Linked DNA regions of Saccharomyces cerevisiae S288C. Changing the gene in region 1 together with any one later gene gives a genetic interaction. Each region holds a gene or a part of one and is shown in the gene's direction. Other genes may lie near its edges.

Evidence for each region. A genetic interaction does not mean that the proteins touch.
Region 2: mutations in SEC9 (region 1) and MNN2 together harm fitness more than expected from each alone (negative genetic interaction), as found in Saccharomyces cerevisiae (3 studies listed by BioGRID).

What each region holds. Positions count from the first base shown.
Region 1 is NC_001139.9:504,231-512,581, reverse strand, and holds SEC9 (Sec9p), read left to right. Parts: upstream 1-1,579; coding exon 1,580-3,535; downstream 3,536-8,351. Other genes in the region: nicotinamide-nucleotide adenylyltransferase NMA2, read right to left, coding at 1-1,037; STF2 (ATPase-stabilizing factor family protein), read left to right, coding at 4,218-4,472; ECT1 (ethanolamine-phosphate cytidylyltransferase), read right to left, coding at 4,642-5,613; mRNA splicing protein PRP18, read right to left, coding at 5,757-6,512; transcription factor IIF subunit TFG2, read left to right, coding at 6,723-7,925; PEX31 (peroxisome biogenesis protein), read right to left, coding at 8,256-8,351. UniProt on the Saccharomyces cerevisiae protein: Component of a SNARE complex that may be the effector of SEC4 function in exocytosis.
Region 2 is NC_001134.8:267,210-271,648, reverse strand, and holds MNN2 (alpha-1,2-mannosyltransferase MNN2), read left to right. Parts: upstream 1-2,145; coding exon 2,146-3,939; downstream 3,940-4,439. Other genes in the region: KAP104 (Kap104p), read left to right, coding at 1-702; cysteine-rich palmitoylated domain-containing protein CPP1, read right to left, coding at 1,016-1,402; glutathione-disulfide reductase GRX7, read left to right, coding at 4,313-4,439. UniProt on the Saccharomyces cerevisiae protein: Alpha-1,2-mannosyltransferase, responsible for addition of the first alpha-1,2-linked mannose to form the branches on the mannan backbone of oligosaccharides.

The sequences.
Region 1 (8,351 bases):
TCATTGTAAATAAGTTGTTTGATAATAAGGATATTTCTTCTGTGTTCATACATGATATCATGGGAAAGCAAGAAGGACCTAACATCAGAACCAGTCCTTTCCACGATCAAACATCCATAATTACCCAAAATATGGTGCAGGTCTGAATCAGCCCACACATGAGGCTCGCCCATGGATTCGATAAGATCACCGCCTGCCAATAACATGATTTTTACGCCCATTTTTTCACCATCTACAGTCATGATTCCACCTCTCTTGATATTTATTTCATGATTGAAATGGTCCAAGACTTTTGCTGTCCTTGTATAACTTGATTGTAAAGATTCCCAGGCATCAACCATTAACCAAGATGATGTCCGCTCGCATGCTAATTCGCACATGCGGACACGATGATAAGCTGGGGCTAACCCTCGCTTTTGATAGTTATCACTTACTGGAGAAAAATAACCACCAACCACTTCAAAACGCGTTTGCTCATTGATATCATCTAAAGCCATTTCAAACATTCTCAAATGTAGGTATGTTATGGGAGAAAATGATCCACAAGCAACGATGATCAGAGGCAGTTTTTCAGGATCTTGTAACTTTTTCGTCAATCTGTGTACAGGAAATTCGTAATCTTCAATAGTTCTGGCTTGTCTTACAATTGTGTGAGGAACTTCTTCCAAATCAGCAATTTGGCTCTTCAGTACCCCCAAATTCCCAGTCATCGTAACATCCTGTAGAGTAGCGTCAATTCCATTCGATTGCCCTTCACTTTCCTCCTCCGATGATACATCCCGAGATAGTGGCTGGAAGTCACTAGTATTTAATGGAATATGGTCCATTCGGTTGCTTGAGTTGGCGTTTTTTTTCCTTGACGACAGGGTTTTGTAAATGTCGAGATTGAAAGGAGCATCGATCGAAGAATTATAATCAGCTAAAACATATGGAACTATGGGTCCAGATTTTGGTATCGTATGTGTTGGATCTGGCGGTGGTTGTAGTTCTTCATTTGGCTGTGGCGGTTTAAAATCGGGTGCTTTGGTGGGATCCATTACGTAATAAGTGCACTTTTTCTTGCCTTCTCCACTTTAAACTCTCTCTCTCTCTCTACTTAACAGTGGAGGAACAGTGACTAAGGTAGAGTATGATTGTACTATAACTTACAGTCTACTGTCGTCACGCTGGGTCAATTTACATTGTTATTTTTCTTGGAGACGACACCGTCACATATGGACAGCGAGTATGGTAGATGGTATAAGCAAAAAATGGCCAGAAACAGGCGATTATTTGGTAAAACGTAAAGATTGATCAAGACGATAAGTTTGAGAGATTGTGAAGCTAAATAAAATCGTATTGCGAGTATTTTACATTCCATATACGAATAGTACGATATCCATGTGGGGTGCGACTCAGAGACTTTCTATTACCCGTCTTTCAAAAAGAAATGAGATACGTTGATCCTGCTTTTAACAATTTCGAATCGTTTGCGTAATTATATGACTTGCTCCGGTGTATAAATAAATAAAGTACATTCTTGGTACTCCTGAACCTAGCCTGGAGTAACTCGGAATAATACACCATTGACACCAAAAGAATGGGATTAAAGAAATTTTTTAAGATTAAGCCTCCAGAGGAAGCGACACCAGAACAGAACAAGGATACTTTGATGGAACTGGGTATTAGTGTCAAAAACCCTAGCAAGAAAAGAAAAGAGAAATTTGCCGCCTACGGTAAATTTGCAAATGATAAAGCTGAAGATAAGGTATACGCGCCACCAGGTTATGAGCAGTATGCTAGGCCACAGGATGAACTTGAGGATTTGAATGCTTCTCCCTTAGATGCCAATGCTAACGAGGCAACTGCTGGTTCTAATAGAGGTTCAAGTGGCACGCAAGATCTCGGAAATGGAGCAGAATCCAATTCTATGCAAGATCCGTACGCTATCGAAAATGATGATTACCGATATGATGACGATCCTTATGCAAGGTTTCAAGCTAATAAAAGTAATGGGAGAGGTAGCGTCAATGCTGCGCCTTATGGTGATTATGGAGGGGGGTACAATGGCACATCTCTGAATTCATATAATAACGATGGCCCGTATAGTAACCAAAATACTTCAAACAGCTGGGTGAATGCGAATGGCCGTAATAGTTTAAATCATTCAAACAGCACTTTAAACGTAGGGCCTTCGAGGCAAACAAGGCAACCGCCGGTTTCAACGTCGACCAACAGCTTATCGCTTGACCAAAGAAGTCCCTTAGCAAACCCGATGCAAGAAAAGAGAAATCCTTACGCTGATATGAATAGTTATGGCGGGGCGTATGACTCCAATACTAATAGATCTAGCGGTACTCGACAAGGAAGCTCCAAGAATGCAAATCCATACGCCTCTATGGCGAACGACTCATATAGTAATGGAAATTTGAACAGGTCTGCAAATCCATATTCTAGTAGAAGTGTGCGTCAACCGCAATCGCAACAAGCTCCAATGACTTATACGCCCTCTTTTATTGCTTCTGATGAAGCAGCACGCAATAGTGAAGTTGATTTAAATGAAGAACCTAGAACAGGTGAATTTGATTTTGAAGAAGTTTATGCTGACAAGTCTGCAGAAAATAGAGCGGCATTAGATGAGCCTGATTTGAATGCAGTAATGACGAATGAAGATTCAATAGATTTAAATGCGTCCGAAGTTGATCATAGTTCAAGACAGCAGCAGCAGCAACAGTGGTTCATGGATGAGCAGCAACAGCAACAGCAACACTTTAACGCAACAAATAACCAATATGGAGATCAAAGGGGTTACAAAACATTTGAAGAAATACAAAAAGAAGAGGAGGCTCGCCAGCAGCAGGAAGAAGATGAAGCAGTAGATGAAATCAAGCAGGAGATCAAATTTACGAAACAGAGTTCCGTAGCCTCTACTAGAAATACACTAAAAATGGCTCAAGACGCCGAAAGAGCAGGTATGAACACATTGGGTATGCTGGGTCATCAAAGTGAACAATTGAATAACGTAGAAGGAAACTTAGATTTAATGAAGGTGCAAAATAAAGTTGCAGATGAAAAAGTTGCAGAACTAAAAAAATTGAACCGTAGTATATTGGCTGTCCATGTTTCTAATCCGTTTAATTCCAAGAGAAGGAGAAGGGAGAGGGAAGAGCAGCTGAAGAATAGGAAAATTGAAGAAAAATTAATGAGAGAGCAAACAAGTCAACAATTGTCTCAGTCCACTCAAAGAATAGAGGGTGCTATGAACGCAAATAATAACATAAGTGAGGTGCGGGAAAGATATCAGAGGAAGAATGTTCTAGAAAAGGCAAAGAGATATCAGTTTGAGAATGATGAAGAAGATGACGAAATGGAATTGGAAATTGATAGGAATTTGGACCAGATTCAGCAGGTTAGCAACAGATTGAAGAAAATGGCCTTGACCACTGGTAAAGAATTAGACTCTCAGCAAAAACGTCTCAACAACATTGAGGAAAGCACTGATGATCTAGATATCAATCTCCATATGAATACCAACAGGTTGGCAGGTATCAGATAGAATATGCCTGTAAAAACTATGTAATATATCACAAGTAACAACATTTCATCACCATTACTACCATTATGTAGAAATTTATGAGCAAAGACAAATAAGTAAAGAAAAAGACATTGATATAATATAAGAGTATGCTTTCTTCATTTTAATGTTTGGTTGTGAATTGAAAGAATACCATTCGGGCACGCAATAGTTATGAACTTAACCGAGCTCAAATAATTTAAAGATAAAAGATAAAAGATAAAAGATAAAAGACAAAAGAAAATTCATAGCCCATGTTGAAGTATCCCAGCGGGAAATGTTGCTATCCAACAGAAAGTACCAAGCCAGTTTCAAAAAGGTACAGAATTAAGTGATGCTATCCGTCCCACAACTAATTTTCTCCAGCGGAGGAAATATACGCGGAGGGGGGGAGGAAAACCTCTCAGTAAGCAATGAAGGGATAGATAATGGGGGCGCGCCTGCCTAGCTTAGGCTAAGAAACTCCTTCGAAAACAGGGGGCTGCGAGCGCAGAAGCGAACACTTGTCATTTGTATAAAAGGACTATTTATAAGTTTGCTTTTTGTCACTCTCTTGGCCCTAATTACCCATACTATTGTAACAATTGTTGTGTAAACTCAATTATACAAATAAACGAACAATCAACAGTAACAAACCGCTCAAGTGTACAACCAATCAGAAAAAATGACGAGAACAAACAAGTGGACCGAACGTGAAGGAAAGGCTGATCCAAAGTACTTTTCGCACACTGGTAACTACGGTGAATCTCCAAATCACATCAAGAAGCAAGGTTCCGGCAAGGGTAATTGGGGTAAGCCAGGCGATGAGATTGATGACTTAATTGATAATGGTGAAATACCCCCAGTGTTCAAGAAAGATAGAAGAGGCTCAAATTTGCAATCGCATGAACAAAAGTTTGAAAACGTCCAAAAGGAATGAGGGCGTTTTCAAGATAAAAAAAGGTTTTTTGATCTCTGAAGGATAGTGGCCTTCTCCACTGATTTATATGCATCTATAGGTATATACTTGCATGCCTACTTCATGACTTATGTAATACAGTTTTCTTACATCCATTTAATTTACGTTCGAAGAAGTTTTCAACATTTGTTTATATGGACATTCCCTTTTTTTGGTTCCTCGCAATGTAAACCTCCCTTTGCGATTCCACCCTCTTCACAATAAGCTCTTTAGTCAAGTATTCACTGAATTTTCCGGCAGCAGTGAGGACAGCCGTGCCAATATGATACTTCTCGCAGTTATACTGAGACATTGAGGTGGCGTCAGCATCGATAATAACGGCATCAACATATTTACAACTTAAAACGCTCAAGACGCGTTCCTTCATCGTCATAATGGTACTCGAGTAATCGCTTGTGGTAATACCAACAATCAATTTCTTATCGGGGTGAAGATCCATTTTCAGCTTTCTTAACTGATCAATATCCCCCATATGGAATAAGTCAAAATCCCCGTCAACATAAACACAATCTTCTGCATCGAATTTGTATCCACCATTGACCAAGACATTGTCCAAATCCCTCTGAAAGACATAACAATGTTTTGAAACGGCATCTTGGGCGACAGAATAGAAACTCAATTCCTGGGTGGTGGGATAATAATCAGGATGAGTCGGTGGCAAAGATTTTTTCGTCAATATTCTATGTATAATCTCGGTAGTACTTACGCCATATGTTCTTTTAACTACCTTGAAGCGCCCCATCTCTTTCACCAACTTATAGCAGTCTTCTCCATTAGCATCTATGGTGATATCATCACCATGAACAACATATTGGCACTGATATTTATCCATCCAATTGGGATCTGTAACATATGGCGCCGCTTCAACCACTTCCGAACACCACCTATTTGATCTAGTATGCTCATATCTTTCTGAAGAGTTCATTACTGGTGTTCCTTTGTTATGCTGAATATCTTCATCGGTATGCACACCACAGAATAGTTTACCATTTTCTTTTGAAACTGTTCGACGAGCCTGCAAAATGGCTCCCGCATGCCCATGATGTGTGAAATCAAAGCAGCCGTCTATCCAAACTTTATCCGGATCTAAGTTTACCGTCATCCAGTCAGTATATTTCAAGTCCCGATCCTGTAAAGCATTTGTCTCTGGAAAATTGAACAAAGGCTATCAACATCTGCATTCTTGCTTCTTATTTTGGCCGCATGATATCGTGCCACGCGATAACGAAAACAATAGTTCAACAATTAGGCTAAGCTATCGTGGTTGCTGGTATACCATTCTTCAAAAGTTATTAATCTTTTAATACTGGTAATCCATAATCGCGTTCTTTCATCAATCATTATGTTAGCAGCATTCCGGCCTCCTTGAATTTTCGAATGTGCACTACGAGCATGAATGCCTACGCTAGTAACACCAATAGGCCAGGCCACATTGCCGATACTGAGTTTCATATAGGACTGAACGGCTAAATTTATTTCTTTAGGTTGTTGTAAATGATAGAGAACGGTCGCAAGGGAAATAAGTAAATCCGGGGCAAGCTGGTTCCTTCGTAGTTGCAGTAGGAGTGGAAAGAGTGCTTTTTTAGTGTCTAAGAACAGCTCCGGATGATAAGCTTCCAAAGACGCCTTCCAACGAGATAATATTTCGTGAATATATAAATTACATTTCATTGACAAAAGAGGTTTTCCTTCAGTAGAACCAATTTGTGATGGATCAATGATTACAGAGATGGTTTTGTCTTGAGCTATCGCTTCTTGTATCCTTTCTGGCCGATTTTCTAATTTGCTAATGGTGGTCCTAATATCGTCACTCTGATTGTCTGACAGGTTTTCTTCATCTGTACTTTCTTGTTCTACCTGTCGCGGTGTTTCGTCTATGTTTGCGGATTCATGTGGCTGGAATTTCTCAGTGCATGGTGGCTGAACACCTTTAGAGTTGGCCAGCTCTTTCTTCTTCTTAGAAATTTCACCTTTTAAGATACTGGCTAGATCTAGGTCCATTTTATGCTCTTATTACTTGTAGAGGAAAAAACATTGAAGTTCTTTCCATTGGGGCCCTTTCCAAAGGTCGATTCTCTTCTTAACTTTTTCATCTTCCCTTGCGCGAAATGAATAAATTATCAGGCTTGAAATTAGAAGAATAAGACATATGCTGTTGGCTTCAACGCATAACGCAATATTAAGAGTAAAATAGAAGACCAACTTAACACCATGAGCAGTGGTTCAGCAGGGGCACCAGCACTTTCTAATAATTCCACGAACTCTGTCGCGAAGGAGAAATCAGGTAACATTTCCGGTGATGAGTATCTTTCGCAAGAGGAGGAAGTTTTTGACGGTAATGATATTGAGAATAATGAAACCAAAGTTTATGAAGAATCCTTAGATTTGGACTTGGAACGTAGTAATAGACAAGTCTGGTTAGTTAGATTGCCCATGTTTCTAGCAGAGAAATGGAGGGACAGAAACAACTTGCATGGCCAAGAACTGGGTAAAATTAGGATAAACAAGGATGGGAGTAAAATCACACTTCTATTGAATGAAAATGATAACGATTCTATACCGCACGAATATGATTTAGAACTTACAAAGAAAGTAGTAGAAAATGAATATGTTTTCACAGAACAAAATTTAAAGAAATATCAACAACGTAAAAAGGAGTTGGAAGCAGATCCTGAAAAGCAAAGGCAAGCTTACCTGAAGAAGCAAGAACGTGAAGAGGAACTTAAGAAGAAGCAGCAGCAGCAAAAACGTAGAAATAATAGAAAAAAGTTTAATCACAGAGTTATGACAGATAGGGATGGTAGAGATAGATATATACCATATGTGAAGACGATTCCCAAAAAAACCGCCATTGTGGGTACAGTTTGCCACGAATGTCAGGTTATGCCATCAATGAATGATCCTAATTATCACAAGATTGTTGAACAGAGAAGAAATATTGTCAAGCTTAATAATAAGGAAAGGATCACAACTTTGGATGAAACCGTTGGTGTTACGATGAGCCACACAGGTATGTCCATGAGGTCAGACAACTCGAATTTCTTGAAAGTGGGGCGTGAGAAGGCCAAGAGCAATATTAAATCTATTCGTATGCCAAAGAAGGAAATCTTGGATTACTTGTTCAAGTTATTTGATGAGTATGACTACTGGTCCTTGAAGGGGTTGAAGGAACGTACTAGGCAACCTGAAGCACATTTAAAGGAGTGTTTGGATAAAGTTGCCACTCTAGTGAAGAAGGGCCCATATGCATTCAAATACACTTTAAGGCCAGAGTATAAAAAGTTGAAAGAGGAGGAGAGAAAGGCAACCTTAGGTGAACTAGCTGATGAGCAAACAGGTTCCGCTGGAGACAATGCGCAAGGAGACGCGGAGGCTGACTTGGAAGATGAAATAGAAATGGAAGATGTCGTTTAGTTGACAATCAGATTTTCTTCATTAATTTTATATTTACGCAGTTTCTTGAGCCCTATATATACTCTTTTTAAAATTTACAGTTTTGTTTAATTTATTATGTCTCTATTAGTTTTGGCTATCTGTACATATGTATTTAGATGCATTGAAGTTCCGTAAAAGAATGCTTGCTGGAATAAGAGACTGATGGAGAACTTGCCATAACCGCGCAGATACTTTAAAGCACAAGATTGAATTTGTGCTCCATGCAGCCAATGAAAGAAACTCTGAGATTGCTGTGTGCCCTTGCACCGACCAGTGTGAACGTTGTTGTCCATATGGGGCATGCACTCATTATAGAGAAGGAGACATTGAAACATCAGATATTTGTATTAATTTGCTACTGTCCGAGGAAGGTATGATATGCACTTCATTTGCTGTACTAAATGA
Region 2 (4,439 bases), on another chromosome or scaffold:
CCTCAAGGGACGAAGGATTTAACGATATTGAAAATCATGCTAGAATGTTTGCAGGACCCTGTCCATGAAGTAAGACAAAGCTGCTTTGCCCTGTTGGGAGATATTGTATATTTTTTCAATTCGGAACTGGTAATTGGTAATTTGGAGGATTTCTTGAAGTTGATTGGTACGGAAATAATGCATAACGACGATAGTGATGGTACTCCTGCTGTGATAAATGCGATATGGGCGCTTGGTTTGATAAGCGAACGTATCGATTTGAATACTTATATCATTGATATGTCTAGAATCATTCTAGATTTATTTACCACCAACACACAAATCGTAGACAGCTCTGTGATGGAGAACTTGTCTGTGACCATCGGAAAAATGGGGCTAACACACCCTGAAGTTTTCAGTTCTGGCGCATTTGCCAATGATTCCAACTGGAATAAATGGTGTTTGTCCGTTAACGCATTGGACGATGTAGAGGAAAAGAGTAGCGCGTACATGGGTTTCCTGAAAATTATCAATTTGACCAGCACGGAGGTCACAATGAGTAATGATACCATTCATAAAATTGTTACGGGCCTTTCAAGCAATGTAGAGGCGAATGTTTTTGCGCAAGAGATCTACACCTTTTTGATGAACCATTCTGCCCAAATTTCTGCAATAAATTTCACGCCCGATGAAATCTCCTTCTTACAACAGTTCACCAGCTAAAATTTTTTTTACTGTATCCTACGTGTTTGTATAGTTTGGTACATTATTACTAGTGATATATACATAGCACAATTCGGAAAAAAAAAAAAGGTGCATAACTGCAAATGGATCACATAGAAATGAAAATAGTTATAAAAGTTACATATAATTAATAGACGTATTACATACATGCTTAAAGTGACATGTTAAAGTTTTTTTTTTTATCTCCTTGTGAAAAAAAATAACACTGAGGGGAAGAAAGGCAACTGCAAAGAACAGAAGGGGAGATTATTCTTTTTTTTTTTTTCATTCTTGAATACTTTTGCGGGTTCTCTTAGAATAGCATATCCATGGTGCAGCATATACATAATGCAGCCAGACATGCAGCCAGACAACCTTCGTTACCCCTCTGGGGTGGTTGTTGTTGGACGTAGACTGGTTGTTGATGGCCTTGTTGGTTATATCCCTGCTGGTTATATCCCTGCTGATTGTAGCCCTGCTGATTGTACCCTTGCTGATTGTACCCTTGCTGATTGTATCCTTGTTGGTTATAGTATCCGGGATGCTGCTGCTGCTGCTGGTAGTACTGCTGCTGTTGTTGGGGTGGGTATCCACGCTCCTGAGTTTTGTTCTGATGAGCGGATGAAGGTGGCGGGTTGGAGGGACGGGAATATTGGCTCTTCTCGCCGGCGGTTCCGCCGTAGTAATCGTTAGCAGACATGGTGGTTGTGTGTAGGACTATCTTAAGCTTACTAGTGAGTCTCTTCAATGCTTGTCTTGAGAAGAGAAAGAGCCAGAGGGGGATTTTGGAAAAAGCCAAATTGACATACTTTTATAGCTTCGGCCGCAGCAGAATGGCTGAAGAGTAAGAGGGCGCAGAGCGGCTGAGCGAACCCGTCGGGCGCGACCAGCCGATAGTAGCACAGTAGAATTTTAGAAGCATTCGTTATCAGGCCGATGTGTGCAATTATTGTAGGTCTGCAGTAACGTAGCTCTACTTTTTCGCAGTCCCGTAGTTTTAAAACTTTTAGTTAATCAGGTGTGAGGTGGAATGAGCGATGGCACTATGTCGGGCAAGGCAGCTTAGCGCACAAGTTAAGCTGGTGCGCTCAGAAGTTGGAGGGTTCGCTAAATAGGTTATGCAAACATGCAAGTCAAGTGAGTCGCCATTGGCTCGCTTGGTGATTAGGTGACTCTAATACATCGTCCAGGACCCGTTATTACCGTTCACGTGCTAAAAAAGGATCGCGTCCTTTTGCGGAGGGATGAAAAAGATAGTGAAAAAATAACAATGAAGAAAAAAAAAATATAGAAGAATCATCAAAATAAATTACGTGTACTTGGTGTTGCTTATACGTTAAAAGCAGAATTGCCCTACTTTTTAATATCCTCGTGCTGCTCAAGGTATCATATCTACTTCGAGACAAATCAGTGTAGGTAGGTCAGTAAAATTATATTTTCAGTATGCTGCTTACCAAAAGGTTTTCAAAGCTGTTCAAGCTGACGTTCATAGTTTTGATATTGTGCGGGCTGTTCGTCATTACAAACAAATACATGGATGAGAACACGTCGGTCAAGGAGTACAAGGAGTACTTAGACAGATATGTCCAGAGTTACTCCAATAAGTATTCATCTTCCTCAGACGCCGCCAGCGCTGACGATTCAACCCCATTGAGGGACAATGATGAGGCAGGCAATGAAAAGTTGAAAAGCTTCTACAACAACGTTTTCAACTTTCTAATGGTTGATTCGCCCAAGGGGAGTACTGCAAAGCAGTATAACGAGGCATGCTTATTAAAGGGTGACATTGGAGACCGTCCCGACCACTACAAAGATCTTTACAAGTTGTCTGCTAAGGAGCTGTCCAAGTGTTTGGAACTATCTCCGGATGAAGTAGCAAGTCTGACCAAAAGCCATAAGGACTACGTAGAGCATATAGCGACTCTCGTCTCGCCAAAGGGTACGTACAAAGGGTCCGGTATAGCCACAGTGGGTGGCGGGAAGTTCTCCCTTATGGCATTTTTGATCATTAAGACTTTAAGGAATATGGGGACCACGTTACCTGTGGAAGTCCTGATCCCTCCTGGTGATGAAGGTGAAACTGAGTTTTGTAACAAGATTCTGCCTAAGTATAACTCCAAGTGTATTTACGTTTCAGATATTCTACCACGAGAGACGATTGAAAAATTTGTTTTCAAAGGATACCAGTTTAAATCATTGGCCCTTATCGCTTCTAGTTTTGAAAACCTGCTCTTACTGGATGCTGACAACTTCCCCATCAAACCCCTAGACAACATATTCAATGAAGAACCATATGTGTCTACGGGCTTGGTCATGTGGCCCGATTTCTGGAGGCGTACAACTCACCCATTGTATTACGACATTGCAGGTATTGCTGTGGACAAGAAAAAGAGAGTTCGCAATTCTCGAGACGATATCACCCCACCTGCTGTTTACACAAAGGATTTGAAGGATTTGAGTGACGTCCCGCTAAGTGACCTAGACGGAACAATACCCGACGTGTCTACGGAATCCGGCCAACTGATGATAAACAAAACGAAGCATTTGGCTACGGCTCTTCTATCTTTATTCTACAACGTCAATGGACCAACGTGGTACTACCCAATATTTTCTCAAAAAGCTGCTGGTGAAGGTGATAAGGAAACTTTCATTGCCGCTGCAAACTTTTATGGTCTATCATTTTACCAAGTTAGAACAAGGACAGGCGTTGAAGGCTACCATGATGAAGACGGGTTTCATGGTGTAGCAATGTTACAACACGACTTTGTGCAGGATTATGGCCGTTACTTAAATGCTATGGAGAGCATTGGCAACAAATACGGTGGCACTAAATCAGCTGATGCAATCAAGTTTGACAAAAACTATTCCCTCGAAAAATACACCGAAGAATTTTTCGACAACGAGGACTTAAATGCCAAGAATCATGTAGATGTTATGTTCATCCATTCAAACTTCCCAAAGTTTGACCCATACGATTTATCTAAAAGCAATTTTTTGACTACGAATGGTAAACCTGCTCGTTCATATACGGCCTTAAAAAAGGTAAAAAATTACGATATTGAACTAGAGAATTTCAAGGTTTTAAACGAATATGTTTGTGTTAATAAGAATCCTTTCAAATATCTCGATGACCTTTTAGGGCAGGATAAAACGGAATGGAAAAGAGTGTGTGGTTACATCACCGATAGATTAGCATTTTTAGAATCTACTCATGATAAGGCGATTGCCGGTAAATAATATGCAACGGGTCGGACTATAGTTTGGACAACTTCCATTGGCGTTTTCTACATTCTTATTACTATTCCTTACATAGTTATGTTTATTTATCTTCCAGTTATGTAAATTTTTTCCTTCACAATCCATATAAAATGACTTTACTACAGATGTATAAATATGCAGTCCCGGGTGTATTTGAGAATCGAGACTACGTCATACCGGTAAGTGGGACTGCGTTTTGAAAAAAAATAAAGAAGTACTTTCGGCAGGATATTTGCCAATGTGTACATATCCCCTCAGTGAAAAAGCTCGAATCAAATAAAAGAAAAAACCTATATATTGGAAAGAAGCAAAATTTTCAAATTAAACGCAAAACAACTGAAGAAAATTAGAGATGGCTATTGTTATAAACAAAAGAAACGTGAGAGTCTTGGTAATAACTAATTTACTGCTCATTGTTGTGTTTTTTGTGTTAAGGAATTCGAATGCTAGCGTCAACGAAAGTATTACTACTCACCATC